7 linked regions of the Macaca fascicularis genome follow. The protein of the gene in region 5 interacts with the protein of the main gene of each other region in a biochemical or structural test. Links are inferred from orthologs where the notes say so. Each region holds a gene or a part of one and is shown on either strand. Other genes may lie near its edges.

Region 1 (4,040 bases), on a different chromosome or scaffold from region 5:
TTATTTTTCCTTCCTTACAATATTACTCACTCAGAATTGTTGTAGGATTAAATAAGGCATTTCAAAATACTGCACAGTCCTCAAATGTTACGCTATCGTAATTAGAACAAGAAAACAAAACAAACAAAAAAAACGTGTTCCTAGGTCAAACTGCACAGTAAAATCTGGAAATTGGAAACTAAGCCGTGTTTGCACTCACTGGCCTGCGCTCTCTTCATCCTACCAATCCCCCTACCCCCAGAAAGTCTCGGATTGACTCTCCAGGAACCAGGGCAGTTCATGAGCCATCTCAACAGATGCATTCGGAAGAAGTCATAGATGACTCTGCAAACTCACAATCGGCATCGATTTTTAGTACCAGTAACTGTCAAAGCCCCACTGTCGTCAACCGCTGCCCACTTGACACCTAACGGCACTTCCGGAACATTCCACAAGATGGCGCCCTTGCTTTCCAATCATCGGGCTACCGGCGGAGGACGCCTTGCCGAGGCGTCGACCTCGTTCTCCAAGGTTCAGGGGCTGACCTCGGACAGAGGCTCGCTCTAGGGGGATGGGCGGGGGCCAGCACTGGCACTGTTGGCCGATCGGCCCGGGATCCCAGCGTGCGGGCCCGAGTCTGCCCCAGCGCGATGCGGCGATGGGCTCGAATGCCCGGCTCCCCGAATTCCGGCCTTTCACCCGCACGGCCTCTCGGCACTGCCCCAGCTAGACACCAACGAGCGCGTCACGCGCGGGGCCTTGTCACACGGCCGGAGGAGGCCTCGCGTGCCCGTGCGGCGGGCTCCGGGCACCCTGATACCTTGACACAAGAGGCGCCGGGTCGTGGGGCGGCGGGGAAGGGCTGTGCGGGGGAGGGACTGCGTCTACACCCGCGCCCAACTCGCTCCGGTCACGGCACTGCCCTGACACCAGGCGGCTGGGGCGGGGGTGGGGCCAGGCATCGGCCCTCGGGATTCTGTTTTCTAAACTGAGGCTCAGAGCCTTCGAAGAACGTGGCAGCAGGGCCCACAGACGGCCCTGAAGGCCTTCCCGTGGCTGCGAGAGTTCCCGGCGGCCGGCGTTCGAGGCGCGCGGCTCCGCTCCGAAGCGAGACCTAGGTGGCAGGACAGGACCTGCTTCCCGGCCAAGCGCGCTCGGCAGGCCGTGGGGCGGGGCGTCGGCCGTGTCGCGGTGTCGCGTATCGAGTCTCCGCCCCCTTCCCGCCGCCCAGTATATAAGACTTCGCCGAGCCTTCTCACTCGCACAAGTGGACCGGGGTGTAAGGTGCGCGTTGGCACCGGAGGCAGGGGTGCGAGGGCCACGGCCGACTCGGACGTGTGACCGCGCCTAGGGGGTGGCAGTGGGCAGTGCGGGCCGGCAAGGCTATCATGGAGCTTTTGCGGACTATCACCTACCAGCCAGCCGCCAGCACCAAAATGTGCGAGCAGGCGCTGGGCAAGGGTTGCGGAGGGGACTCGAAGAAGAAGCGGCCGCCGCAGCCCCCCGAGGAATCGCAGCCACCTCAGTCCCAGGCGCAGGTGCCCCCGGCGGCCCCGCACCACCATCACCACCATTCGCACTCGGGGCCCGAGATCTCGCGGATTATCGTCGACCCCACGACGGGGAAGCGCTACTGCCGGGGCAAAGTGCTGGGAAAGGTGACAAGCGGAGGGCGCCGGGCTGCCGGGCGGGCTGGCGGGCGGGAGGTCTGTCCGGGCGACCCCAAGCCGGGCAGGCCCGCGGGGTCCCGCGCCCGCCGCTTCCAGGTTTTTCGGGGGTCAGATCCCAGCGCGAGGTGGGCTCCTCACCTGCTGCCTGGCTTTTGTGCACCGGCAGCGCTGGGGATCGGCTTTGCCTGCCTTAGCCTCACAACTGTGTGCCACCCCGCAGCCCAGAGAAATGCATCTTGAGTCTGGAAGCGAGGGCTTTCTGTATCAGACCTCTCTCCCTCCATCTGCTCCGAGGGAATTTTCCTAACAAGTCTCATCAGACATTATTTTTCATGTCTCCCCGCTCCAACTCCCTCCATAAAGCTCCCCTTTATATTATAGGAAAAAAACTGTTTGAAGTTGCTGTTTCCAGCAATGCGTTTCTCTTCATGAGGGAGCTTTAACGAAGTCGAATGCCTTCCTCTGACCACCCTTCTCCATTCCTCAATTTTTTTTTTTTGCTTTTCTTTCTTCCCATTTATTTATTTATTTTAAATATCTGCCGTCCATTTTTGTGCCATACTCAATTCCGTCTCGGCTTTGTTTCTTTTCAGGGTGGCTTTGCAAAATGTTACGAGATGACAGATTTGACAAATAACAAAGTCTACGCCGCAAAAATTATTCCTCACAGCAGAGTAGCTAAACCTCATCAAAGGGAAAAGGTGTGTATGACTCTTGAGTAAAGTATTTTCTTTGTGTGCAGGGATGGCCCTTCCCTGTTAGGAAAATGTCTTCTGCATGTGTAATCACTGGCTTTTCCGAGGTGACTGGAGGCTAATAAGCCTTGCCTTGCTTTTTCATTTAGATTGACAAAGAAATAGAGCTTCACAGAATTCTTCATCATAAGCATGTAGTGCAGTTTTACCACTACTTTGAGGACAAAGAAAACATTTACATTCTCTTGGAATACTGCAGTAGAAGGGTAAGTGTCAACTCCTATTTGAGAACATTTACTTACCCCGAATTAACACGGTATTCAAAAAGTATTTTATCTGGTATTTTAGCTGTGGCAGTATTTACACTGCAAAGTTAACTTTCATTGCATATCCTGCAAAGGGAAACCAGTGATTTTGATAACTGTTTGACACATTCTCTTTTTTCCTTCTTCTCTTCCTAGTCAATGGCTCATATTTTGAAAGCAAGAAAGGTGTTGACAGAGCCAGAAGTTCGATACTACCTCAGGCAGATTGTGTCTGGACTGAAATACCTTCATGAACAAGAAATCTTGCACAGAGATCTCAAACTAGGTAAGTCCTTGATGCCAAAAGCTGAGTTTTGTGTTAGAGTTCCTTTTCTCTCTCTGTCTATTTTTACATATGAATGTTCTTAATTGGGATCTAGCGTCTGCAATCTTGCTTTTGAATGGGCGTCTTTCATATAACAATTGGCTGCCTGGCTCCAAAGTGGATGTATGTGTACTTGTTTAGAATGCATTTTCAAAAGGATTCACTTTTTTTTTTTTTGTTTATCATCTAGGGAACTTTTTTATTAATGAAGCCATGGAACTAAAAGTTGGGGACTTCGGTTTGGCAGCCAGGCTAGAACCCTTGGAACACAGAAGGAGGTAAGAGTCCGAAAGATGCATCCTAGTAGGGTTTTGTGGAGAGACCAAACATGCCTTCGCTGTTTTGCATTTCATGTTTCAGAGGTCCAGTGATAACATCTATAAATCATAGCAATGTTAATTTAAAGAAATACTTACTGAATGCCCACTATGGACTAGACAGAGCACGCTGTGCCTCTAAATTGATTATGAAAGCAGTCAATGAAGTCTTTTCTTGGCCTGAAATGTATAAAATGCCACGACGTCCCTGGTTTTATTTGGTTAACCACACGTTGCATGTGGGCTAAAACAATGTGTGTGCACTGTAAAAAATTACCAAAACTCACTTGGTCAGATCTCAATTGTTCAGATGCTAAAAGTCAAATGTTTCCAAATAGAAATTCACTGTAGATATTAAGATTTTGTTTAAGATTTTGTCTCCCATCAAGTCACGTCAAGAGAACCAAGTTTAAATAGTGGAGTAATTCCTAACACGATCTCAATATTTCATCTTTCCAGAACGATATGTGGTACCCCGAACTATCTCTCTCCTGAAGTCCTGAACAAACAAGGACATGGCTGTGAATCAGACATTTGGGCCCTGGGCTGTGTCATGTAAGTAAATGCAGCAGAATAATTAAAAAGCAAATTTGGATTTAAATTTTAACACTTGAGTTGCTTTATGACCATTGCTAAAGATGTGTTTCTTTGCACACAGGTATACAATGTTACTAGGGAGGCCCCCATTTGAAACTACAAATCTCAAAGAAACTTATAGGTGCATAAGGGAAGCAAGGTATACAATGCCG
Region 2 (2,885 bases), on a different chromosome or scaffold from region 5:
TGCTGATATGAACAAAGCACTGTTTGAGGTAACATACCTGTACCCCATTAAAACTTTTTAAGTAGCTACCATAATTTAACCCCACTTTACACATTAGGAAACTGGGGCCCAAGGTCACACAGCTGGTTAGTGGGGTAGAGCCGAGACTGGCACTTAGGTGCCTGAAGTCTGGCTGCAGAACCAAGGCTCTTAACCACTAGGCTATGAAATAGTAAATTTATTATTTCATTGTGCTTTTTTAAAGAGGTGAAAAGTGGTCAGCATTTTAGTCATTCTCCTGACAGTTGTAAGAATCAAAATGTGGGCAAGAGGGGCAGAGCATGGGAAAGACTGTAATCCAGAAGCCATATACCCAGTTATTTGCTGTGATTTAGAGTATAACTCTACCACACTTAAAAATGACAACACACAGCTTTCTGCTATATAATTAAAGTACGGAATGAAACAGGAAAATAACTTTGGATTTTATCAAACTTAGAGCTAAAGCAGACACAGTAAGATTTTTTTAATTTGCCAGAAATTCTTTTAATGAGAATTATAAAAGACCAAAAACATTTTTTTGCAAACTGCCTTTTTAAACAAATGATTTGCTTTTAATTACAAATACTGTGCATGACGATGCCTTCTTTTGCAAAACCAATAAATACAAGAACAAATTTTAAACATGTGATTTATCCAAGATATTTGAAAAAGGAAACAAAAGCCTGATTTGCAGTACTTATAAAAATCAATTTATTCTCTAACCTTTCAAAGATTAAGCTCAAAGGTGTGACTCATCCGTAGAAGAGAGAAAGAGAGAGACCATCTTACAGATGCTTTAAATAGCTTTTGATCATTTTTCCGATGTCACCTTTACTTTCTGGAACTCATAGCTTCACAAAGTAGCTGATTTTAAAATATTTCTAATGAACTGATTAATGGGGGAAAAGAAAATATTGAACACATGTTACAAACTTTTACCATAACAAGTATGCATATCAAAAGACACTAACTTTAAAATGGTACAAAAAAAGTGAAGAAAAACCTGAATTACAGAAAGGAAAGTCAAATTTATTTAATGAAAAACTAAAATTAATAAAAATTAGCAAATACACACACAAAAAAGCACACAGCAGCACTATGTATTGACTCACAAAGGGGAAAAGCAGTGGCCCATGACCACTCAAGATGGCTTGTCAGTTAAAGGAGAAAAACCCAAACACGCACACACCCACGCACGCACACACTCCCACGCAAAAACAAAACAAAATAACTATTTTTCAACAATACAATCAATCTACAACAAACACAAAACTCAGAATTATTTTACAATGCTTCCTTTCTTAATACAAAAGATGCCCATCTTGGGTGTATATACATATATTTTTTCAGTGGTTTACTGTTGACTTATTTTTAAATATATTAGTGTTACTACATGCAACTGTTTCCTGTATTTAACAGCCTTTCCTTTCATTTACCTTCATGTGTCTAGCTTCCACCTACCAAAAGAATTTTAGGTTGGCAGGCAGATGGGTGCCTTATTTTCTGTGAAACTGAAGTTTTAAACACTGGCCAGAAAATGTTTGATTGCCATTTCAACACATGGAAATAGTTACATTGATGCCTAAATTGCCATTTTCTGCAAAAAGCTGTGCAATGCTGGTGTCAAAGACTAGGCAGTCGCTATTCATAATGGCTGTTGCAATTCCTTCATGAATAGATCGAGGAGTCGCTTCCCAAGTCAATCGTCGCCTGTGACCATTTAGCTCAAGTCGGTAAGCAAAATTTTCAGCTTGCTTGCGTGTTCCTATCAGCTGTACAATTGCAAAGAACTGCTGGTGACCATCGTATTTTTCCTGTTTCTCCAAGACTAACATGAAGTGAAAGCCAAAACAGGACTGCATCATCACCCAGTCAACAGCACCAGGAAGATTAATGTCTGTAGCAAGGAAAACTATATCCTCTCCCTGTAGGGTTGTAATGGACTTATGCTGATGCATCAGATGGGGCATTACAGCATCCAAAGAGCCTTGCCATTTACAGGAAGCACCAGGGCACGGACAGGAATAAGGCCTAAACTCACAGAGCTCTTCGTGGTCTGCTTTTTCTGTGTGTGGCAGAGTTATTTCACATCCAGAAGAGGCATATTTACAGGGGAAAAGTACTGAATTAGCCACTTTCTCCATAGCCAAGTTGCGAATGGATCCCAAAGGGCCCCGGCAAGTTGGACAACATGTGAGCTTTGGGCGACAGTTGCTACAAACAAGATGGCCACTCTGACATTGAAGAATGGGTGGTAACACATAGTCAAAGCAGACTGGACACTCAAAAAGACTCGCCAAGTCATTGTTGGATGCAGTTGTGCCAGTCAGGGCAGGTACCCTCTGGGATGGTGGACACTTCGAGGTACCGGTAGGTAATGCTGTAGCAGTCTGACGGCTCATTTCTGAAATAAATACATAAGGAGGCAGGAGAAAAATAATTATAACCATGACTTATTTTACAAATAATGTTTACATGCCAGAAGTACTTAAAGTTTCATGCAAAATTTACTGAGCAAAAGAGAAAGAAAAATAAATAGAATTTAAAAAGTAACATACTAAAAAATAAAATTACACTGAATGTGCACTTTATTAGGATCTGTACACTGGATAAGCTCTCTTTTCAAAATATTCCGGAAAACATTTGGAACTCCCTTAATCGTCTTTGGATAGACTACATGGAATAATAAATGCTAAAATAGAAGATGGACCATAAACAACTAGAGAAACTATACAAGGAACTGAAGTTTAATCGAATCCGTTTTGCTAGGACTCTCTCCCTGAGACTCCCTTACTCTTATTTCTTTCTAATTTGGAGTCAGCTATTGATAGGTATAGGGAGTTACAGGTGAAGTCCTGGATAAA
Region 3 (4,262 bases), on a different chromosome or scaffold from region 5:
AATTTTTTTTTTCTTTTTTTGAGATGGAGTTTTGCTCTTGTTGCCCAGGCTGGAGAGAAATGGCACGATCTTGGCTCACCGCAACCTTTGCCTCCCGGGTTCAAGCGATTCTCCAGCCTCCGAGTATCTAGGATTACAGGCATGCGCCACTACGCCCCCCTTATTTTGTATTTTTAGTAGAGACAGGATTTCTCCATATTGATGAGGCTGGTCTCGAACTTCTGACCTCGGGTGATTCACCCGCCTCGGCCTCCCAAAGTGCTGGGATTACAGGTGTGAGCCACCGCGCCCGGCCACCCCAGTGGACTTCTAACCGCTCCTACCTTCCCTCCTACCTACCTCCCAACTCAGGCTGTATCATCTGTTGTAGTGTCTTGAAGAACCAAGGAGGAAAATTGCACCAGCAGAAAAAAATTGAGTCATGAAAGATGTGAAAAGATAGAAACATTACATATCATTTATTCAGAAGCAAAGTCTTTTACAGTGGAGGTGAGTTTGGACCAAGTGAACTACACTTTTCATAGTTGCCCCAGTGGGCCCGTTTGATGCTTGATAAACACACTCTAGACAAGTGGGACTTGCTGTCTGGATACCGGCTGGATAAAGAACAATGAGTATAGATTTCTTGGAAAATAGACATATAAATTCAGGGATGTCTTTATTCCTCCTTCGCCTGGGAATTAAACTCATTCTTCCAAAAGTTCAAACAGTTATCTCCTCTTTGAGACTTTTTACAACTCCCAGAGTGCTCTAGTTGCCCTCTCTATGTCTATACAACTCTGTCTTTATTCTTTCAGCAAGTATTTGTTGAACATTTTTTATTTGCGATTCACAGTCCTGGGTTCTAGGCACACACGGTTGAAAGGTACACATAATCTAGCATTATCACGTTGCTTTGAAATTCAGTGGCTGTGTGTCTCACACCCCACCCTGTCTCCCAACTGCAATCAATACTTGTTACAATGAAGGCAGGAATGAAGTCTTCATATTTGCATGCCCAGGAACTGAACTGGAATCTGATGACACGCACTACATGACTCCTCCTTACACTGCCACCACCTGAATGAGGCAGCTGCCCTGGGCCCAGATGCTGACCTCATACTGTGCTTTCTGATGTGGCAAATAGACGTTTTCAAGCAGTCCCAGGGAGGCAGAAAGGCCAGTCCTTTGGCCCCTGGAACCTCAATGAGTCAATGTTTAATGCAGCCACGAGTCTAGTCACAAGTATAATTGTTTTTGACTGGTCCTTTGACTCAGTGACCATTCCTGGCATTCGTTTGCGTTGTGAACTATGATTCTGTTTCTCCTAATGTAGTCTGGGTGTAGCGTGGAAGCCCCAATTTAATAATTTCCGACCTCACTAAGTGCAAGGTCACATTCCAAGCTCCAGAGCTTCATTAAGGAACTCCTTCCCCCGCCCTCTTTTCTTAAGCATATATGCTACCGACGCGGAGGGCACCTCACTCGCTCTACAAGTAGCAAGACCCGTTGTCCTTTAGGAATACGGAGGTTTACATCTTCGTTCTGAGGGTGGGGGAAAAATCAGTTGTCACTTTAAAAGAGTTCGCGCTTAAGGCAGAAGCCGCGCCGAAGCGTCGCGAGAACTGTAACAACCCGCAACTTCTCGCGATGTTTGGCCCCGCTAAAGGTCGCCATTTTGGAGTCCACCCGGCGCCTAGTTGCCCCGGCGGCATCGCTCAACCGGCTGCCGGGACCAAAGCTGGTCCCGCGGGTGTCTGGCCTGTGGGCAGCCGGACCGACACGATGTGGCGGCTCCGCTGCAAGGCCAAGGACGGCACCCATGTTTTGCAGGGGCTGTCCAGCCGGACCCGGGTGCGGGAACTCCAGAGCCAAATTGCCGCCATCACCGGGATCGCCCCCGGCGGTCAGCGAATCCTCGTCGGATACCCTCCCGAGTGCCTGGATCTCAGCAATGGGGATACCATTCTGGAAGACTTGCCCATCCAATCTGGTAAGGAATCAGGGCAGGGGCCAGGGAAAGTCCCGGGAGGACGGAGAGGGGCGTGAGAGAGAACAGAACACTAGTCAAGGCAAGGTGGCTGTGGGTCGGCGGGGGACTTTGAGGCCAGGGGCGAGGATAGATCAAAGAACAGAAAACTCTGACGGGGGCCGGGGCAAGTGTCTAGCAACTCCTTGTCTTGACACAGGGTTGAAAGGGAACCCAAAGGCTTGAAGTCCCCCTTCCCCAATCCGCTTTCTGCTCGGCTTTGAAACTATCCCATTTTGTTTTCCGTCGGCGTCCACAAAAATATGAAGAAGTAGGGCCTATTTTCTCTGTCCTTATGTCTCTTTTCCCCTGTATCATCGATGAGATCTCAAGGATGCAGGATTTTTTTTTTCTTGGTTCATTTTTGCAATCCCCTTCATAGATACTTCGTTTGACAGGCATACTCATTTTCGAGTCAGCTTTTAAACACCCACTGAAAGCCCTTTCAATTTCTAACCAGTAGCAGTTATTTTTGTGCCATATCAAAACTTAAACATCAGTGTTTATAATTAAAAGCTTTCAGTTGCTGTATCAAGGACGCTGTAAACACTCAGAGTAGATAAGTTCCCAGAGAAGAGACCCCCCTAGCGGCCTACTCTGTAGTGAGCACCTTCTGTAAAATACTGTATAAGGAAAGGAAATTTTGTTTTTGAAATGTATCTTTTTAGGTAAGCTTAAAGTTGTTTACTCCAGACCGCTTCACTAAATTGGGATGCAACCTGAAGTGTCTTTGTTCTTTGTTCTTTTTTCATCTTTATGAAAATTCAGTGAACAAAGATTGTTACTGGTAACTTATTTGCAAAGCTGTCTTCTCTTTAATAACCCCAGTTTATGCTTTAACTCCTTCAGTTTGTAATTTACAGACTTGGCTAGTGAACACTCGGTTTCTTCTATAATTTCTCTGCAGATCGGGATTTGTTTTATTTTTAACAGGTGACATGCTGATCGTTGAAGAAGACCAAACCAGGCCCAAAAGTTCACCTGCATTTACTAAACGTGGTGCTTCTAGTTACGTCAGGGAAACTTTGCCTGTGCTTACCAGAACCGTGGTCCCAGCAGACAATTCTTGCCTCTTTACCAGTGTGTACTATGTCGTCGAAGGAGGAGTCTTGAATCCAGCTTGTGCCCCTGAGATGAGACGCCTCATAGCACAAATTGTAGCAAGCGATCCGGACTTCTATAGTGAGGCAATACTGGGAAAAACAAATCAAGAGTACTGTGACTGGATCAAAAGGGATGACACTTGGGGAGGAGCAATAGAGATATCGATTTTGTCCAAGTTTTACCAATGTGAAATATGTGTAGTGGATACACAGACAGTAAGAATTGATCGTTTTGGGGAAGATGCAGGATATACTAAAAGGGTTCTGCTTATTTATGATGGCATCCACTATGATCCACTTCAGCGTAACTTCCCTGATCCAGATACACCTCCTCTGACCATTTTCTCCTCTAATGATGATATTGTTCTTGTACAAGCACTGGAATTAGCAGATGAAGCTAGAAGAAGGAGACAGTTTACTGATGTCAACCGCTTCACCCTGAGATGCATGGTATGTCAGAAAGGATTAACTGGACAAGCAGAAGCAAGGGAACATGCCAAGGAGACAGGCCATACCAACTTTGGAGAAGTGTGATCTATGCATGAATGAGGGTTGAAGTCTACTACCTCACAGATCCAGAAGGCTCTGGGTTTTCCAATAAGCTATCGTAACCCTAAAGAACAAAGGACACAATGCTTGAACCATCCTTTTGACTTAAAACCACTAAGACACTGAAATTCCTTGTTAAGATTAAAATTAGTGTGCAAGTTTACAGATGTGTGTCTACAGTGGTAAACTGTACATACATGCCTCTTTCTGCTGGAGTGACAGAATAGGTGATCCTTGCCACCTACTGACACTGACCTGAAGATTGAGATTGAGTATTATAAACTAGCACCCAGCAGCTTTAACTTGTAGAAGAAAGCATCACATTTTGGGTAATGTGGAAGGCCTCCTGTGAGTCCACTGGACATTTACCACAGTGTCTCCAGTAACCGAGTCTTTTTAAAAACTCTGAATCAGTTAAGTTTCTAAATTATGAATTGATTCATCAAATGAAGATACTCAGAATTGTCCAAACTGATTTTATATTGCAATTTGGTATACTTTATAAATGTGTGCTTAACCACTGATAAGTACATCACAAGCAATTTTTACAGGGATGAGTCTCATCCTTGAGAATGTTATCACAAAACAGGAACTGATTGTGC
Region 4 (3,960 bases), on a different chromosome or scaffold from region 5:
CTGTGCCAAGGCTGTCCTCCGTGCTCCATACACGTTAGCTTGTCACCAAACATATCCGTGTCACTGCTTTCCCAGTCTGATGAGCAAAGGAACCCGATGCTCAGAGAGGACAAGTCATTTGCCCAAGGTCACACAGCTGGCAACTGGCAGAGTCAGGATTCAAGCCCTGGCAGTTTGACTCCAGAATCCTAACCTTAACCCAGAAGCACAGCTTCAAGACCCTGGAAACCACAATGCCTGTGGCAGCCAGGGGGAGGTGCTGGAATCTCATTTTACACGTGGGGAGGGGTGGGTCCCCTGTGCTCAAGGTCACAACCAAAGAGGAAGCTATGATTAAAACCCAGGTCCCACTCGCAAAGCCTAGACTTTTAGCAGATGCACCACACTGTTCCCACCCCCCTCCCATCCCACTTCTGTCCAGTCGCCTAGCCCCACTTTCTTTTCTTTTTTCTTTTTCTTTTTTTGTTTTTCTTTTTAGAAAGCATCACTCTTGCTCAGGCTGGAGTGCAGTGGCGAGACTTCGGCTCACTGTAACTTCCACCTCCTGGGTTCAAGTGATTCTCCTGCCTCAGCCTCCCAAGTAGCTAGGATTACATGCGCCCGCCACCACGCCTGGCTAATTTTTGTATTTTTAGTAGTGATGGGGTTTCACCATGTTGGCCAGGCTGGTCTCAAACTCCTGACCTTAAGTGTTCCGCCCACCGTGGCCTCCCAAAGTGCTGGGATTACAGGCGTGAGCTACCGCGCCCAGCCCCTCCCATCCCACTTCTGTCCAGCCCCCTATCCCTACTTTCTTTCTGGGATCTAGGAGTCCAGATCCCCAGCCCCCTCTCCAGATTGCATTCATCCAGGCACAGGAAAGGACAGGGTCAGGGAAGGAGGACTCTGGGCGGCAGCCTGCACATTCCCCTTCCACGCTTGGCCCCCAGAATGGAGGAGGGTGTCTGGATTACTGGGCGAGGTGTCCTCACTTCCTGGGGACTGTGGGGGGTGGTCAAAAGGCCTCTATGCCCCACCTCCTCCCTCTGCCCTGCTGTGCCTGGGGCAGGGGGAGAACAGCCCACCTCGTGACTGGGGGCTGGCCCAGCCCGCCCTATCCCTGGAGGAGGGGGCGGGACAGGGGGAGCCCTATAATTGGACAAGTCTGGGATCCTTGAGTCCTACTCAGCCCCAGCGGAGGTGAAGGACGTCCTTCCCCAGGAGCCGGTGAGAAGCGCAGTCGGGGGCACGGGGATGAGCTCAGGCGCCTCTAGAAAGATGTAGCTGGGACCTCGGGAAGCCCTGGCCTCCAGGTAGTCTCAGGAGAGCTACTCGAGGTCGGGCTTGGGGATAGGAGGAGCGGGGGTGAGGCCAGCAGCAGGGGACTGGACCTGGTAAGGGCTGGGCAGCAGAGACGACCCGACCCGCTAGAAGGTGGGGTGGGCAGAGCATGTGGACTAGGAGCTAAGCCACAGCAGGACCCCCACGAGTTGTCACTGTCATTTATCGAGCACCTACTGGGTGTCCCCAGTGTCCTCAGATCTCCATAACAGGGAAGCCAGGGGCAGCGACACGGTAGCTAGCCGTCGATTGGAGAACTTTAAAATGAGGACTGAATTAGCTCATAAATGGAAAACGGCGCTTAAATGTGAGGTTAGAGCTTAGAATGTGAAGGGAGAATGAGGAATGCGAGACTGGGACTGAGATGGAACCGGCGGTGGGGAGGGGGAGGGGGTGTGGAATTTGAACCCCGGGAGAGAAAGATGGAATTTTGACTATGGAGGCCGACCTGGGGATGGGGAAATAAGAGAAGACCAGGAGGGAGTTAAATAGGGAATGGGTTGGGGGCGGCTTGGTAACTGTTTGTGCTAGGATTAGGCTGTTGCAGATAATGGAACTAGGCTTGGAAGGCTAACCTGGGGTGGGGCCGGGTTGGGGTCGGGCTGGGAGTGGGAGGAGTCCTCACTGGCGGTTGATTGACTGTTTCTCCCTCCCCAGACTGGCCAATCACAGGCAGGAAGATGAAGGTTCTGTGGGCTGCGTTGCTGGTCACATTCCTGGCAGGTATGGGGGCGGGGCTTGCTCGGTTTCCCTGCTCCTCCCCCTCTCATCCTCACCTCAACCTCCTGGCCCCATTCAGGCAGACCTCGGGCCCCCTCTTCTTCTGCTGGTCTGTCTTCCCCTTGAGGGGAAAGCCCAGGTCTGAGGCTTCTATGCTGCTTTCTGGCTCAGAACAGCGATTTGACGCTCTGTGAGCCTCGGTTTCCTGCCCCCGCTTTTTTTTTTTTTTTTTTTTGAGCCAGAGTCTCACTCTGTCGCCCCGGCTGGAGTGCAGTGGCACAATCTCAGCTCACTGCAAGCTCCGCCTCCCGGGTTCACGCTATTCTCCCGCCTCAGCCTCCCGAGTAGCTGGGACTACAGGCGCCCGCCACCATGCCCGGCTAATTTTTTGTACTTTGAGTAGAGAAGGGGTTTCACTGTATTATCCAGGATGGTCTCTATCTCCTGACCTCGTGATCTGCCCGCCTTGGCCTCCCAAAGTGCTGGAATTACAGGCGTGAGCCACCGCGCCCGGCCTCCCCATCCTTAATATAGGAGTTAGAAGTTTTTGTTTGTTTTTGTTTTGTTTTGAGATGAAGTCCCTCTGTCGCCCAGGCTGGAGTGCGGTGGCTCCCAGGCTGGAGTTCAGTGGCAGGATCTCAGCTCACTGCAAGCTCCCCCTCCCAGGTTCATGCCATTCTCCTGCCTCAGCCTCCGGAGTAGCTGGGACTACAGGAACATGCCACCACACCTGACTAACTTTTTTTGTATTTTTAGTAGAGACGGGGTTTCACCATGTTGGCCAGGCTGGTCTGGAACTCCTGACCTCAGGTGATCTGCCTGCTTCAACCTCCCAAAGTGCTGGGATTACAGGCGTGGGCCACCGCGCCCAGCTGGGAGTTAAGAGGCTTCTAATGCATTGCTTTAGAATACCAGACACGGGACAGCTGTGATCTTTATTCTCCATCACCCCACACAGCCCTGCCTGGGACACACAAGGACACTCAATACATGCTTTTCCGCTAGGCACGGTGGCTCACCCCTGTAATCCCAGCATTTTGGGAGGCCAAGGTGGGAGGATCACTTGAGCCCAGGAGTTCAACACCAGACTCGGCAACATAGTGAGACTCTGTCTCTACTAAAAATACAAAAATTAGCCAGGCCTGGTGCCACACACCTGTGGTCCCAGCTACTCAGGAGGCTGAGGCAGGAGGATTGCTTGAGCCCAGAAGGTCAAGGTTGCAGTGAACCACGTTCAGGCCACTGCAATCCAGCCTGGGTGACAGAGCAAGACCCTGTCTGTAAATAAATAACGCTTTTCAAGTGATTAAACAGACTCCCCCCTCACCCTGCCCACCATGGCTCCAAAGCAGCATTTGTGGAGCACCTTCTGTGTGCCCCTAGGTACTAGGTGCCTGGACGGGGTCAGAAGGAACCTGAACCACCTTCAACTTGTTCCACACAGGATGCCAGGCCAAGGTGGAGCAACCGGTGGAGCCAGAGACGGAACCCGAGCTTCGCCAGCAGGCTGAGGGGCAGAGCGGCCAGCCCTGGGAGCTGGCACTGGGTCGCTTTTGGGATTACCTGCGCTGGGTGCAGACACTGTCTGAGCAGGTGCAGGAGGAGCTGCTCAGCCCCCAGGTCACCCAGGAACTGACGTGAGTGTCCCCATCCCGGCCCTTGACCCTTCTGGTGGGCGGCTATACCTCCCCAGGTCCAGGTTTCATTCTGCCCCTGCCACTAAGTCTTGGGAGTCCTGGGTCTCTGCTGGTTCTAGCTTCCTCTTCCCATTTCTGACTCCTGGCTTTAGCTCTCTGGAATTCTCTCTCTCAGTTCTGTTTCTCCCTCTTCCCTTCTGACTCAGCCTCTCACACTCGTCCTGGCTCTGTCTCTGTCCTTCACTAGCTCTTTTATATAGAGACAGAGAGATGGGGTCTCACT
Region 5 (3,500 bases):
ATTATTTATTATATTTAAAGGTGAAGAACACTTTGGCAAAGAAAGAAAGAAAAACAAAGGAAGGAAGGAAGGAAGGAAGGAAAGAAGGAAGGAAGGGAAAGAGAAAGAGGAAGGAAGGAAGGAAGGAAGGAAGAAAGAGAAAGAAAGAAAGAAAGAAAGAAAGAAAGAAAGAAAGAAAGGAAGGAAGGAAGGAAGGAAGGAAGGAAGGAAGGAAGGAAGGAAGGAAGAAAGAAAGAAAGAAAGAGAAAGAAAGGAAGGAAGGAAAAGAGAGAAGGAAGAAGGAAGGAAGGAAGGAAAAAAGAAAGAAAGAAAAAGGAAGGAAGAAGGAAGGAAGGAAGGAAGGTAGGAAGGAAGGAGAAAGAAAGAGTAGGGAGACTGAGAATACCAGAGGTGAGAAGAATGGCTCCAATTTTATATAGATTAAGGCAGGCCTCCCCAGTAATGTGTCAGGGCAAGGGTATGCTTGATTTATTCAAGAAATAGCAAGGAGACAGGGAAAAAGCAAAAATCATTTTGCTGTTGTAGTGGTGACATTTGTAAAATTTCATCATTGTTGACACCTCATACCGTATTAGTTTCATATTTAAAATGAAAGTTATAGTATCTTTGGTATAATCTTATTTGTGCCCCATGTTTGTCAAAAAAATTCAGTCAAAATTCTTCTCAGAATTTTAAAATCTACCTCAAAACTATGATCTCTGGTTGGTATATATTTTAAACCTCTTAGTTCTCACAAACATGTATTTGGCAATGAACTGTTATGTAATATGCAAATATGCCATTTAATAAGAGATGATGTCACTATAAAGAAATCAAGTAAAAGAATTTTATTTTGGAAATTAAGAAATTAGGCACAAAGAGATTTGTTATTCCAAGGAAGAGAAATTCCAAGACTTATAGTTAACATGAAAGTCCTCATTCTTTTTGAAATGTCACTGTTCCTTTGACATTTTGCTACATTTTTTATTTCATTAACTTTCTTCTAGAAATTGAAACAATCATGATAATTATAAAATTTGCATGGCATTTATCTGGGTTAATGCCTGAAACAAGCAAGACCAATATAAAGGTAGCACATTTTCACAAGGGGAGGGTCAGGTAGCTGTTCCTCACAGTAAGTGTCCTGCTCCTGCCTCCAGGCCTCACATGAAAATGAACCATAATCTCACCAGCTTATAAATGTAGCACAAAATGTACACACCGTACCTTGCCCAACTGGTCCTTTTTGATGAAGCCAGTGGCTGCTGCAATGTTCCCTGCTCCCTCCACTGTCTTCTGGGCTACTGCTGTCACACCCGTCACCACCGCTCCTCCAACATTTGTCACTTGCTCTTTGGTCTTCTCAGCCACTGGTACAAATCAAGAGCAACAACAGATTAAAGGGTGGTGGAATAACAGTGACTTAAAATCATTCCACTTCCACTAGCCATCGACTTCCATACACCTGTATCTACACATGCCATAGACAACTGAGGGGTCAGAAGAAACAAGCAACCAAGGTGTCCAAGTGAGCGTGGCTCAACCAAACATTGAATCTCGGCTAAGATATTTTTGTTAAAGTCATGCAGTATTAAAAAGTGCTTCAAGTTTAATGATCCAGAATGTAAAGCCATGAGTGATTTGGATTTGTTTTATACTAAGGAAAGCAATTCTTACAGGTGCAGTTATAGTTGAACCAGACTCAACATGAGTATTTCTTTATTTCAATTCAGTGCCAATCCTTTGAGCTCACTCAGCAAGTTCATTTCCACCACACATTCTAAACAACACAATACATACTTGTATTTATTTATTTATTCATTCATTCATTCATTCATTCATTCATTCATTCATTCATTCATTTGAGATAGAGTTTCACTCTTGTTGCCCAGGCTGGAGTGCAATGGCACAATCTCAGCTCACTGCAATCCCCACCTCCTGAGTTCAAGCTATTCTCCTGCCGCAGTCTCCTGAGTAGCTGGGATTACAGGTGCCCATAACCATGCCTGGCTAATTTTTTTTGTATTTTTAGTAGAAACAGGGTTTCACCATGTTGGCCAGGCTGGTCTCGAACTCCTAACCTCAGGTGGTTCACCTGCCTCGGCCTCCCAAAGTGCTGGGACTACAGGCATGACCCACCGCACCCAGCCCATACTTCTTATCTGTGTGTTCAGACACGGTATTATCACATATGTATGAATGACAGCATAAGAAATGGTTTTGAAGGAACTTGGATCTTTTTATAGAACTTCAGGTAGTGAAACATAGGGTTCTTAAAAGCTAACTTGCAGTAATTTTAATAGGAGCAAAGGAGCTGGACAGTATGAAAATGAAGAGGCTATTGAGCACCCTTAAAATTCGTTTTCACAAAACAAAATGTGATACGGTCATTCAGTAGGTTTATTACAATAAGTTAACATTTTTGAGAAGACAGTGTAAACAGTTTGAATTGAGTTTATAGGCAGAAATTTAATTTCATGTCAAAAATTTTCTTGTTCAGTGAAATAAGCCAGAAACAGAAAGGCAAACACAACATAATCTCACTCATGTGGAATCTAAAGAAAAAAAAAAAAAGTTGGTATCATAGAAGCAGAGAGGAGAACAGTGGAGGAGAGTGGAGGATGGGGACACTCATCTAAGGAAATGAAGGCACATTTTCTTGATATGATTTGTACTCCCCAGATAAGCCTCAGTCTGAGAGGAGTTACACCATGTCAGCTCTTTCGTGCTAGTCACATGATTATTGTATAGGTTTCATCTCACCAGTTGAAGAAGCCAATAGTTAAATGGTGTGGACAAAGCAATTCATTTTCAAATAGACTATGTAAGTCACAGAAGCTAAGGGGCCTGTAAGGACAAGAGGCTTTCTCCTTAGTTCAGGCAATGTGGGGAAGCCTGACATAGCCACACAGCCCAAGACCAGAAAGGGTCCACAGTATTGTTGCTCCCTACTTGTCTTTTAGGCTAGAATTTTGTACAACTACCTACCAACTCCGTGCCATTTCTAAGGATATGGCTGATGTCTCCTTAAGAGTAAGAGCTATTTACAATTCAAAGTTCGATTTAAATGCCAGTGAAAAGCTGTACTGAAAATTTTATGTTTTAAAACATTTCTGAAATGTTGATCCTTTAAAAATAGTCAATTATGTGTTTCAAGTTGTCATTTTTTTCGTTTTCAAGGACGAGAATTGAAAATTTTGCTTCAAATGAACATTTTCTTGTTATAAAATCTTGAAGCAAGATTAAAAATAGGTTTTGAATTTTTTACAGATCCAGCCATAAATTTTATAATATCTAGATAACCTTTTATAGATGTATAAATTTTAATCTAGTTTTAATGCAATACACTGCACAGTAAAATGTACTCTGCACATTATTATAATTTCACTCTTTTATTATTATAATAATAAATAAAATGGTTACATGACAAAATAACAGAGTATACAGGTAGCAATCATCGACACATTTAAAAACATTTCTGTAGAACTGGTTTCTCTAGTAGGGTCTCTGCTGACCTTGAA
Region 6 (3,500 bases), on a different chromosome or scaffold from region 5:
TCTACTAAAATTTAAAAAAAAAAAAAATTATCTGGGCATGATGGTGGGTGCCTGTAATCCCAGCTACTCGGGAGGCTGAGAAGGGAGAATCAGTTGAACCTGGGAGATGGCAGTTGTGGTGAGATGAGATTGTGCCACTGTACTCCAGTCTTGGCGACTGAGACTCCATCTCAAAAAAAAAAAAACAAAAAAAACCTCTCTAGGCTCGGGGCGTTGGCGCATGTCTGTAATCTCAGCACTTTGGGAGGCCAAGGTGGGTGGATCACTTGAACCTAAGAAATTCAAGACCAGCCTGTACTCCAGTCTTGGCGACTGAGACTCCATCTCAAAAAAAAAAAAACAAAAAAAACCTCTCTAGGCTCGGGGCGTTGGCGCATGTCTGTAATCTCAGCACTTTGGGAGGCCAAGGTGGGTGGATCACTTGAACCTAAGAAATTCAAGACCAGCCTGGGAAACATAGTGAAATCCCATCTCTACAAAAAAACCAAAAACTATATATGTATATACACACACACACACACACACACACACACACACACACACACAGAGAGATTAGCTGGGTGTGGCACCCATGTAGTCCCAGCTACTCAGGAGGCTAATGCAGGAGCATCAATTGACCCTAGGAAGTCAAGGCTGCAGTGAGCTGTGATTGTGCCACTGTACTCCAGCCTGAGTGACGGAGTGATATCCTGTCTCAAAAACAAAACAAAATATCTCCCCAAACCTCTCTAGTTGCATTCTTCCCAACACCCATTGCCAGAATTCCTACAAGAGGAATTGAAAGTTCCAGAAGCCTGTGTGTAAGGTCCAGGGTCACTTGCTCTTCCTTTGCAGGTACTGACAGACCCAGAGGCAGCTAAGTATGTTCATGGCATTGCTGTACATTGGTACCTGGACTTTCTGGCTCCAGCCAAAGCCACCCTAGGGGAGACACACCGCCTGTTCCCCAACACCATGCTCTTTGCCTCAGAGGCCTGTGTGGGCTCCAAGTTCTGGGAGCAGAGTGTGCGGCTAGGCTCCTGGGATCGAGGGATGCAGTACAGCCACAGCATCATCACGGTAAGCCACCCCAGTCTGCCTTCCTGCAAAGCACACCCCAGACCCCTTAGTAGTCTCACCAAAGACTGACAGACCTTTCCTGTCCAGCTTTGCCCAGCTAGCCTGCCCTTTTGGGCAACTGGGGAACCATGATTCCCTGTCTTGCCTTTCCTTCACAGGTCTGCACACCTCATTGCCCCTTTTTTTTTTTTTTTGAGACAAAGTTTGGCTCTGTCGCCCAGGCTGGAGTGCAGTGGCACGATCTCGGCTCATTGCAAGCTCCGCCGCCCGGGTTCACGTCATTCTCCTGCCTCAGCCTCCCGAGTAGCTGGGACTACAGGTGCCTACCACCACGACTGGCTAATTTTTTTGTATTTTTAGTAGAGACGGGGTTTCACCGTGTTAGCCAGGATGGTCTCGATCTCCTGACCTTGTGATCTGCCCACCTCAGCCGCCCAAAGCGCTAGGATTACAGGCGTGAGCCACCACGCCCGGCTCATAGCCCCTTTTGCAAATACTGACGCACTTGCACTTGCCTCAGACTTCTCAGATCCCCTTGAGATGCCTCGATCTTCACACCCCCAACTCCTTAGCAGCTAAGTAATGTGCCCCTCACAGGGCTGAGCTACCCACAGCCACTTCTCCCTCATGTGACCCTTACCTACAGTCTCTGGGGACCCCCAGTGTTGAGCCTTTGTCTCTTTGCCTTTGTCCTTACCCTAGAACCTCCTGTACCATGTGGTTGGCTGGACCGACTGGAACCTCGCCCTGAACCCCGAAGGAGGACCCAATTGGGTGCGTAATTTTGTCGACAGTCCCGTCATTGTAGACATCACCAAGGACACGTTTTACAAACAGCCCATGTTCTACCACCTTGGTCACTTCAGGTGAGTGGAGGGCGGGCACCCCCATTCCATATCAGGCTTATCATCTCCTACATCAGATGGCTTACATCACTCTACACCATGAGGGAGCAGGAAGGTGTTTAGGGTGGAACCTCGGGAGAGGCACACCCATCCCCTTTTGCACCATGGAGGCAGGAAGTGACTAGCAACAGACAACCCCAGTGCCTGAGGCTGGACTGCGATGTAGAAAAGCAGGGTCAGTGCCCAGCAGCATGGCTCCAGGTCTAGAGACCCAGGGCAGAGCTTCTGCAGGAGTTATGGGGTGGGTATGCGGGTGGGTGACTTCTTAGATGAAAGTTTCATGGGCGGTACCCCGAGGGACTCTGACCATCTGTTCCCACATTCAGCAAGTTCATTCCTGAGGGCTCCCAGAGAGTGGGGCTGGTTGCCAGTCAGAAGAACGACCTGGACACAGTGGCACTGATGCATCCCGATGGCTCTGCCGTTGTGGTCGTGCTAAACCGGTGAGGGCAACAGTGGGGTCTGGGAAGTGGGCTGAAGACAGGGTCGGGGGCCTTGGCAGGATCACACTCTTAGCTTCTCCTCCCCACTCCCTAGCTCCTCTAAGGATGTGCCTCTTACCATCAAGGATCCTGCCGTGGGCTTCCTGGAGACGATCTCACCTGGCTACTCCATTCACACCTACCTGTGGCGTCGGCAGTGATGGAGTGGATACTCAAGCTCAGCCTGGGCATTAAAAGGACAGAGTCAGCTCACACGCTGTCTGTGGCTAAAGAGGGCACAGCAGGGCCAGGGTGCGCTTACAGCGACATAAGCCCAAGGGCAGTGGTTTGGGTGATTCACTTTCCCCTCTAGGTATTGCCAGGGGCTGGAGGCCCCTAGAAAAAGACCAGTAAGCCCCAGTGTCCCCCCAGCCCCCATGCTTATGTGAACGTGCACTGTGTGCTGCTTGCTTTGGAAACTGGGCCTGGGCCCAGGCCTAGAGTGAGCTCACTGTTGTACAAACACAAGATGAGGGGTGAGGGTAAGGAAAAGAAGAGACTAGGAAAGCTAGGCCCAAAACTGGAGACTGTGTTTCCTGGAGATGCAGAACTGGGCCCGTGGAGCAGCAGTGTCAGCATCAGGGCAGAAGCCTTAAAGCAGCAGCAGGTGTGCCCAGGCAGCCAGATGGTTCCTGTGGGACTAGCCAGGAAAAATGGCAGCTCTTAAAGGAGAAAATGTTTGAGCCCAGTCAGCGTGAGTGGCTTTATTCTGGGGGGCAGCACCCCGTGTCCGGCTGTACCAACAAAGAGGAGGCACGGGGGCCTCTGGAATGCACGAGAGTAGAAAAACCAGTCCTGGGAGCGTGAGGACAAATCATTCCTCTTCATCCTCCTCAGCCATGCCCAGGGCCCGGGTGCCTGGGGCCCGAGCAGGCGTTGCCCGCTGGATGGAGACAATGCCGCTGAGCAAGGCGTAGCCCACCATGGCTGCCAGTCCTGCCAGCACAGATAAGATCTGGTTCCGGCGCCGGTATGGCTCCTCCTCAGTCTCTGGGCCTGCTGGTGTCTGGCGTGGCGGTGGTACCTCAGCTGAGGGTCAAGGAAGGAAGGTGAG
Region 7 (4,293 bases), on a different chromosome or scaffold from region 5:
TAGGTGGGGAGCACACAGACTCAGGCCCAGGGGCACGGGCCACCCCAGCCTGCCCACACACAGTTCGTTCACCTTGGCTCAGAGCTGTGGCCCACTCTTGAACCTGGCCCAGGTACAGCAGGTAGTACCTGAGGGTGTACTGTGGGGCCGGCAGGCCGGGCACTGTGACCACTGCCTCATCTGACATGAAGGCCTCCATCTCGAGCTCCAGGCACCAGGACTGCTGTGAGCAGCGAGGAGAAGCAGCCAGACACCCCATCAGGACAAGCTCTGGCTCCGACTCCTGGTCCTAGAGACACACAAGGGCCCAGACTGTCTGCTTCACAGACAAGGACGCTTATGTACCCAAGTCGTGCCCACCCAACTCACCTGAGGCTGTGACTGTGGTGGGTCCACACCGCAGAGGGCAGACAGCTGGGTGACCGCGGCCCCCACATCTGGCAGGAGGCAGAAGGTGGTGGTCGAACAGTGCACAGCCAGCTCAGGGGGATTGGTGGTCACCAGATGCTGTGAGAAGCCAGGTCAGGGTGCCCGGCGTGGTGGACCCACAGGGAGGCCCCGCCCCCACGAAGACCCGCTCTGGAGGCCCCGCCCCGCCGATGCCACGCCCCGATGAAGACCCGCCCTACGGAGGCCCCGCCCTCGAGGCGGGCCGCACCTCGCCGCCAGCTTCCAGGCCAGCAGCCGCTCCAGCTCCCTGTCACATGCTCTCCGCTCTGCCCCTGATGGCCGCTGGCAACTCCTCCCGATACCTGGGGAAGGGCGGTGAGGGGAGGTCCGGCCACAGGGTACGCTCGCCCACCGATCCCTTTATCCCCTTCCACTCTACCAACGGCCCAGGGCTTCCAGCCGCACTCGGGGGTCCGCGCGCACCCGTAGGACCTCTCGATGGCGCTCCGGAATGGCGGCCCAGCGACTGCGGTCCTTACACCCAACAGCGCGGGAAGCCACTATGTTCACGCGGAGGGGCGGGGCCGGCTGCCGGGGGCGGGGCCGGCTGCTGGGGGCGGGGCTTCTGCGTAGGGGCTGGCTGCTGGGGGCGGGGCCTCTGGGTGGGGCGGCCTGTTGGGGGCGGGGCGTCTGCCGATGGGGCGGGCTGCTGGGGGCGGGGCTGGCTGCCGGGGGAAGGGCCTCTGGATGGGGCCCGCTGCTTGGGGAGGGGTCTCTGCGCGTTGCGGCGGGGGCGGAACGCCAGGTGGTCGGGACAGGCTGTTGGGGGAGTGCGCCCTCAGCGAACCAAGGCATCTCACTGGGAAAGTCGAATGTGTGTGGCGGTCGCCGCCGAGGCCGGTTCCGAAGAGGCCTCAGCAGGGCGGGCCAGGGCCTCCGCGAACGCCGACCCTTAAGAGCGCCGAGCGAGGGAACCGGAGTGTTCCTCCCAGCCCCCGACGCCGCGGGCCTAGCGTCCCCGTCCAGGCTGATTGGGCGCACGCGCGGCCCCACTCGCCCCCACCCGTGCGTCCCCGCTGGTCCCGCCCCCGGCCGGAAGTTCCGGCGGTGGAGCTGGGCCGGGCCCGAGAGGATCGCGGGTTCGGGCTGCGGGGCTCGGGCTGCAGGCGCTGGGCCGCCAGGCGCGGAGCTTGGGAGCGCAGCCCAGGCCGTGCCGCGCGGCGCCATGAAGGGCAAGGAGGAGAAGGAGGGCGGCGCGCGGCTGGGCGCTGGCGGCGGAAGCCCCGAGAAGAGCCCGAGTGCGCAGGAGCTCAAGGAGCAGGGCAACCGTCTGTTCGTGGGCCGAAAGTACCCGGAGGCGGCGGCCTGCTACGGCCGCGCGATCGTGAGTGCGCTCGCGCGGGAAGGGCGGCGGCGGCGGCGGCGGCGGCGGCGGCGGCGCCGGGGAGGGCCGGGCCCGTGCCCGGCTGGCCCCACCGAGGGTCTGGTTCCTCTGCGGGGCATGTCCTGGGCTCCTAAAGCCCAGCCGTGGTTCCCGAGCCCAGCGCCGGGTGTCGGAGAACGAGGGTGGGATGCTGGATGGAGGCCGGCCGGGTCGGGGGGAGGGCAGGGGCCCTCGCCCCTTGAGGCTCCCAGGTCCAAAGCCTGGACTCTCCAAAGATTTGGAAAACTTTACAAAACCAAGTGGAGTCAAGCGGATAGGCTCAGCCAGTACTCCACTGTCTGCAGATCCTTGGATCCAGGGGCTTTGACGACTGAGAAGCCTAGTTTCTTGATTCTAGCCAGAGCGCAGAAGCTGGGACGGGCCGTGGGACAGAGGGGGCGCGCTGAGCCTACACCCTCATGCGGCTGGCCCGGCCTTGGTCCCTAGACCCGGAACCCGCTGGTGGCCGTATATTACACCAACCGTGCCCTGTGCTACCTGAAGATGCAGCAGCACGAGCAGGCCCTGGCCGACTGCCGGCGCGCCCTGGAACTGGACGGGCAGTCTGTGAAGGCGCACTTCTTCCTGGGGCAGTGCCAGCTGGAGATGGAGAGCTATGATGAGGCCATCGCCAATCTGCAGCGAGGTTGGCTGACAAGCTGCCCGGTTGTGGGGCCCCTGGGGCCAGGCGGGTGGACTGGCCAGAGAGTGACCTGAAGCCCCCGTTCCCCAGCTTACAGCCTGGCCAAGGAGCAGCGGCTGAACTTCGGGGACGACATCCCCAGCGCTCTTCGAATCGCGAAGAAGAAGCGCTGGAATAGCATCGAGGAGCGGCGCATCCACCAGGAGAGCGAGCTGCACTCCTACCTCTCCAGGCTCATTGCCGCGGAGCGTGAGAGGTGGGACCCTCACCCCAGGTCGCCCTGTCTTGGGGTAATTCTGAATCACCAACTACCAACATGAGCGTTTATTGAAGGTTTTACTGGCGAGCAGAAAACGTGGGGAAGAAGCATGAATGTTAGCCCTGAGGTTGGGGTGTGGTCAGACATCTGGCCAGGTCCATCTCTTACTGGCTCCTGGTCAACCCCCAGGGAGCTGGAAGAGTGCCAGCGGAACCACGAGGGTGATGAGGACGACAGCCACGTCCGGGCCCAGCAGGCCTGCATTGAGGCTAAGCATGTGAGGGTGCCCCCCTCCCACATGTGGGTCTGTGTGTGTGCACCTGGCGTGGGAGCATCCCCGCCTTGTGTTGGGTCTGTGCCCCATGGAGGAGGGAGGTGGGGTGTCCCGCACAAGTGCAGTGCTCAACTCTTCACAGGACAAGTACATGGCAGACATGGACGAGCTCTTCTCTCAGGTGGACGAGAAGAGGAAGGTGAGTGTCTGTCACTTGCTGCGGTGGGTGGCAGGTGCTGGAGCAGTGCCCCTTCCCAGCCTCTGATCGTGTGCCCCTGTGCCACAGAAGCGTGACATCCCCGACTACCTGTGTGGTAAGATCAGCTTTGAGCTGATGCGGGAGCCGTGCATCACGCCCAGTGGCATCACCTACGACCGCAAGGACATCGAGGAGCACCTGCAGGTGAGGCTGCGGCTGGGGGAGCAGGGCCAGCAGCATGGTCCTGGGCCCACTGACTGCCCTCTGCCCTTCTTGTCACTGCAGCGCGTGGGTCATTTTGACCCCGTGACCCGGAGCCCCCTGACCCAGGAACAGCTCATCCCCAACCTGGCCATGAAGGAAGTCATTGACGCATTCATCTCTGAGAATGGCTGGGTGGAGGACTACTGAGATGCCTTGCCCTGCCCAGCATCCTGGTCCAGGAGAGCCCTGGGCGGAAGCCCTCCACCCCTGTACATAGTTTGTGTTGCTGGCCACCCTGGCCCCTTCCAAGTTCAAGTTCTGCTGTTGGGCTCTGGACTATTCCCCCTCTCAGCATAGCTCTTGCTGGGCCATGATTGTCCCCCTTTGTGGGCTGGAAAAGCAGGTGAGGGTGGGCTGGGCTGAAGCCACTGCCGACACTGTCTGTGTAATAAAATCCATGAGCACGAGATGGGACGTGCTGGTGTGTGGCAGGCATGCCTGCCAGCTGCTTTGGCTAGCCGAGGAAGGTGGAGATGAAGACGCTGGTGTCAAGGTTGAGTGTGGCATGCCACCAGCGGTCAGGGAAGTACAGCACCTGGTGGAGAAAAGGGGTGCAGCACAGATTAGCTGGGGGCCTCTGGCCTGGCCTGGCCCTCTCCTGCCAGCCACTGACCTCACCAGCCCGGATGGTACACTCCAGGGGCCGTGCAGACGGTGGCAGGGCTGGATATGTGTCCCGGAGCCAGGCCAGCGTGGTCTTGTTGGGGTGGAACTCTGGTGTCTTCTCAGGTGGGTAGAGGAACCAGCGCTGGGGGCAGGAGCAGCAGCGTCACCCTTGCCTGTTTTGGTCACCGAGCCCCAAGGCTCAACCCCAACCCTGTGCTGACCTTACGGCCGTAGA

Evidence for each region.
Region 1: of the proteins of SNCA (region 5) and PLK2, one has a biochemical effect on the other in vitro, tested with the Homo sapiens proteins (2 studies listed by BioGRID). The link is inferred for Macaca fascicularis from reciprocal best matches to the Homo sapiens genes SNCA and PLK2.
Region 2: the proteins of SNCA (region 5) and SIAH1 form a complex in vitro, tested with the Homo sapiens proteins (3 studies listed by BioGRID, with this or other methods). The link is inferred for Macaca fascicularis from reciprocal best matches to the Homo sapiens genes SNCA and SIAH1.
Region 3: the proteins of SNCA (region 5) and YOD1 form a complex in vitro, tested with the Homo sapiens proteins (2 studies listed by BioGRID, with this or other methods). The link is inferred for Macaca fascicularis from reciprocal best matches to the Homo sapiens genes SNCA and YOD1.
Region 4: the proteins of SNCA (region 5) and APOE form a complex in vitro, tested with the Homo sapiens proteins (2 studies listed by BioGRID and IntAct). The link is inferred for Macaca fascicularis from reciprocal best matches to the Homo sapiens genes SNCA and APOE.
Region 6: the proteins of SNCA (region 5) and GBA1 form a complex in vitro, tested with the Homo sapiens proteins (2 studies listed by BioGRID). The link is inferred for Macaca fascicularis from reciprocal best matches to the Homo sapiens genes SNCA and GBA1.
Region 7: the proteins of SNCA (region 5) and STUB1 form a complex in vitro, tested with the Homo sapiens proteins (2 studies listed by BioGRID, with this or other methods). The link is inferred for Macaca fascicularis from reciprocal best matches to the Homo sapiens genes SNCA and STUB1.

Annotation. Positions count from the first base shown.
Region 1 is NC_088380.1:63,914,523-63,918,562, reverse strand, and holds the start of PLK2 (serine/threonine-protein kinase PLK2), read left to right. Parts: upstream 1-1,240; 5' UTR 1,241-1,367; coding exon 1,368-1,637; intron 1,638-2,242; coding exon 2,243-2,350; intron 2,351-2,493; coding exon 2,494-2,610; intron 2,611-2,805; coding exon 2,806-2,935; intron 2,936-3,164; coding exon 3,165-3,252; intron 3,253-3,750; coding exon 3,751-3,846; intron 3,847-3,949; coding exon 3,950-4,040.
Region 2 is NC_088394.1:44,266,633-44,269,517, forward strand, and holds the end of SIAH1 (E3 ubiquitin-protein ligase SIAH1), read right to left. Parts: intron 2,426-2,885; coding exon 1,575-2,425; coding exon of another isoform or gene 1,472-1,574; 3' UTR 501-1,471; downstream 1-500. Other genes in the region: LONP2 (lon protease homolog 2, peroxisomal), read left to right, coding at 1,472-1,591. UniProt on the Homo sapiens protein: E3 ubiquitin-protein ligase that mediates ubiquitination and subsequent proteasomal degradation of target proteins.
Region 3 is NC_088375.1:64,875,947-64,880,208, reverse strand, and holds the start of YOD1 (ubiquitin thioesterase OTU1), read left to right. Parts: upstream 1-1,462; 5' UTR 1,463-1,629; coding exon 1,630-1,972; intron 1,973-2,915; coding exon of another isoform or gene 2,916-2,938; exon of another isoform or gene 2,939-2,941; coding exon 2,942-3,645; 3' UTR 3,646-4,262. UniProt on the Homo sapiens protein: Hydrolase that can remove conjugated ubiquitin from proteins and participates in endoplasmic reticulum-associated degradation (ERAD) for misfolded lumenal proteins.
Region 4 is NC_088393.1:52,938,337-52,942,296, forward strand, and holds the start of APOE (apolipoprotein E), read left to right. Parts: upstream 1-1,160; 5' UTR 1,161-1,206; intron 1,207-1,977; 5' UTR 1,978-2,000; coding exon 2,001-2,043; intron 2,044-3,484; coding exon 3,485-3,677; intron 3,678-3,960. UniProt on the Homo sapiens protein: APOE is an apolipoprotein, a protein associating with lipid particles, that mainly functions in lipoprotein-mediated lipid transport between organs via the plasma and interstitial fluids.
Region 5 is NC_088379.1:95,364,118-95,367,617, forward strand, and holds part of SNCA (alpha-synuclein), read right to left. Parts: intron 1,350-3,500; coding exon 1,207-1,349; intron 1-1,206. UniProt on the Homo sapiens protein: Neuronal protein that plays several roles in synaptic activity such as regulation of synaptic vesicle trafficking and subsequent neurotransmitter release.
Region 6 is NC_088375.1:105,901,645-105,905,144, forward strand, and holds part of GBA1 (lysosomal acid glucosylceramidase), read left to right. Parts: intron 1-834; coding exon 835-1,059; intron 1,060-1,761; coding exon 1,762-1,925; intron 1,926-2,290; coding exon 2,291-2,407; intron 2,408-2,501; coding exon 2,502-2,607; 3' UTR 2,608-3,260; coding exon of another isoform or gene 3,261-3,475; 3' UTR 3,476-3,500. Other genes in the region: metaxin-1-like, read right to left, coding at 3,261-3,475. UniProt on the Homo sapiens protein: Glucosylceramidase that catalyzes, within the lysosomal compartment, the hydrolysis of glucosylceramides/GlcCers (such as beta-D-glucosyl-(1<->1')-N-acylsphing-4-enine) into free ceramides (such as N-acylsphing-4-enine) and glucose.
Region 7 is NC_088394.1:1,434,256-1,438,548, forward strand, and holds STUB1 (E3 ubiquitin-protein ligase CHIP), read left to right. Parts: upstream 1-1,493; 5' UTR 1,494-1,615; coding exon 1,616-1,774; intron 1,775-2,118; exon of another isoform or gene 2,119-2,260; coding exon 2,261-2,459; intron 2,460-2,546; coding exon 2,547-2,712; intron 2,713-2,765; exon of another isoform or gene 2,766-2,904; coding exon 2,905-2,992; exon of another isoform or gene 2,993-3,131; coding exon 3,132-3,188; exon of another isoform or gene 3,189-3,275; coding exon 3,276-3,599; 3' UTR 3,600-3,859; downstream 3,860-4,293. UniProt on the Homo sapiens protein: E3 ubiquitin-protein ligase which targets misfolded chaperone substrates towards proteasomal degradation.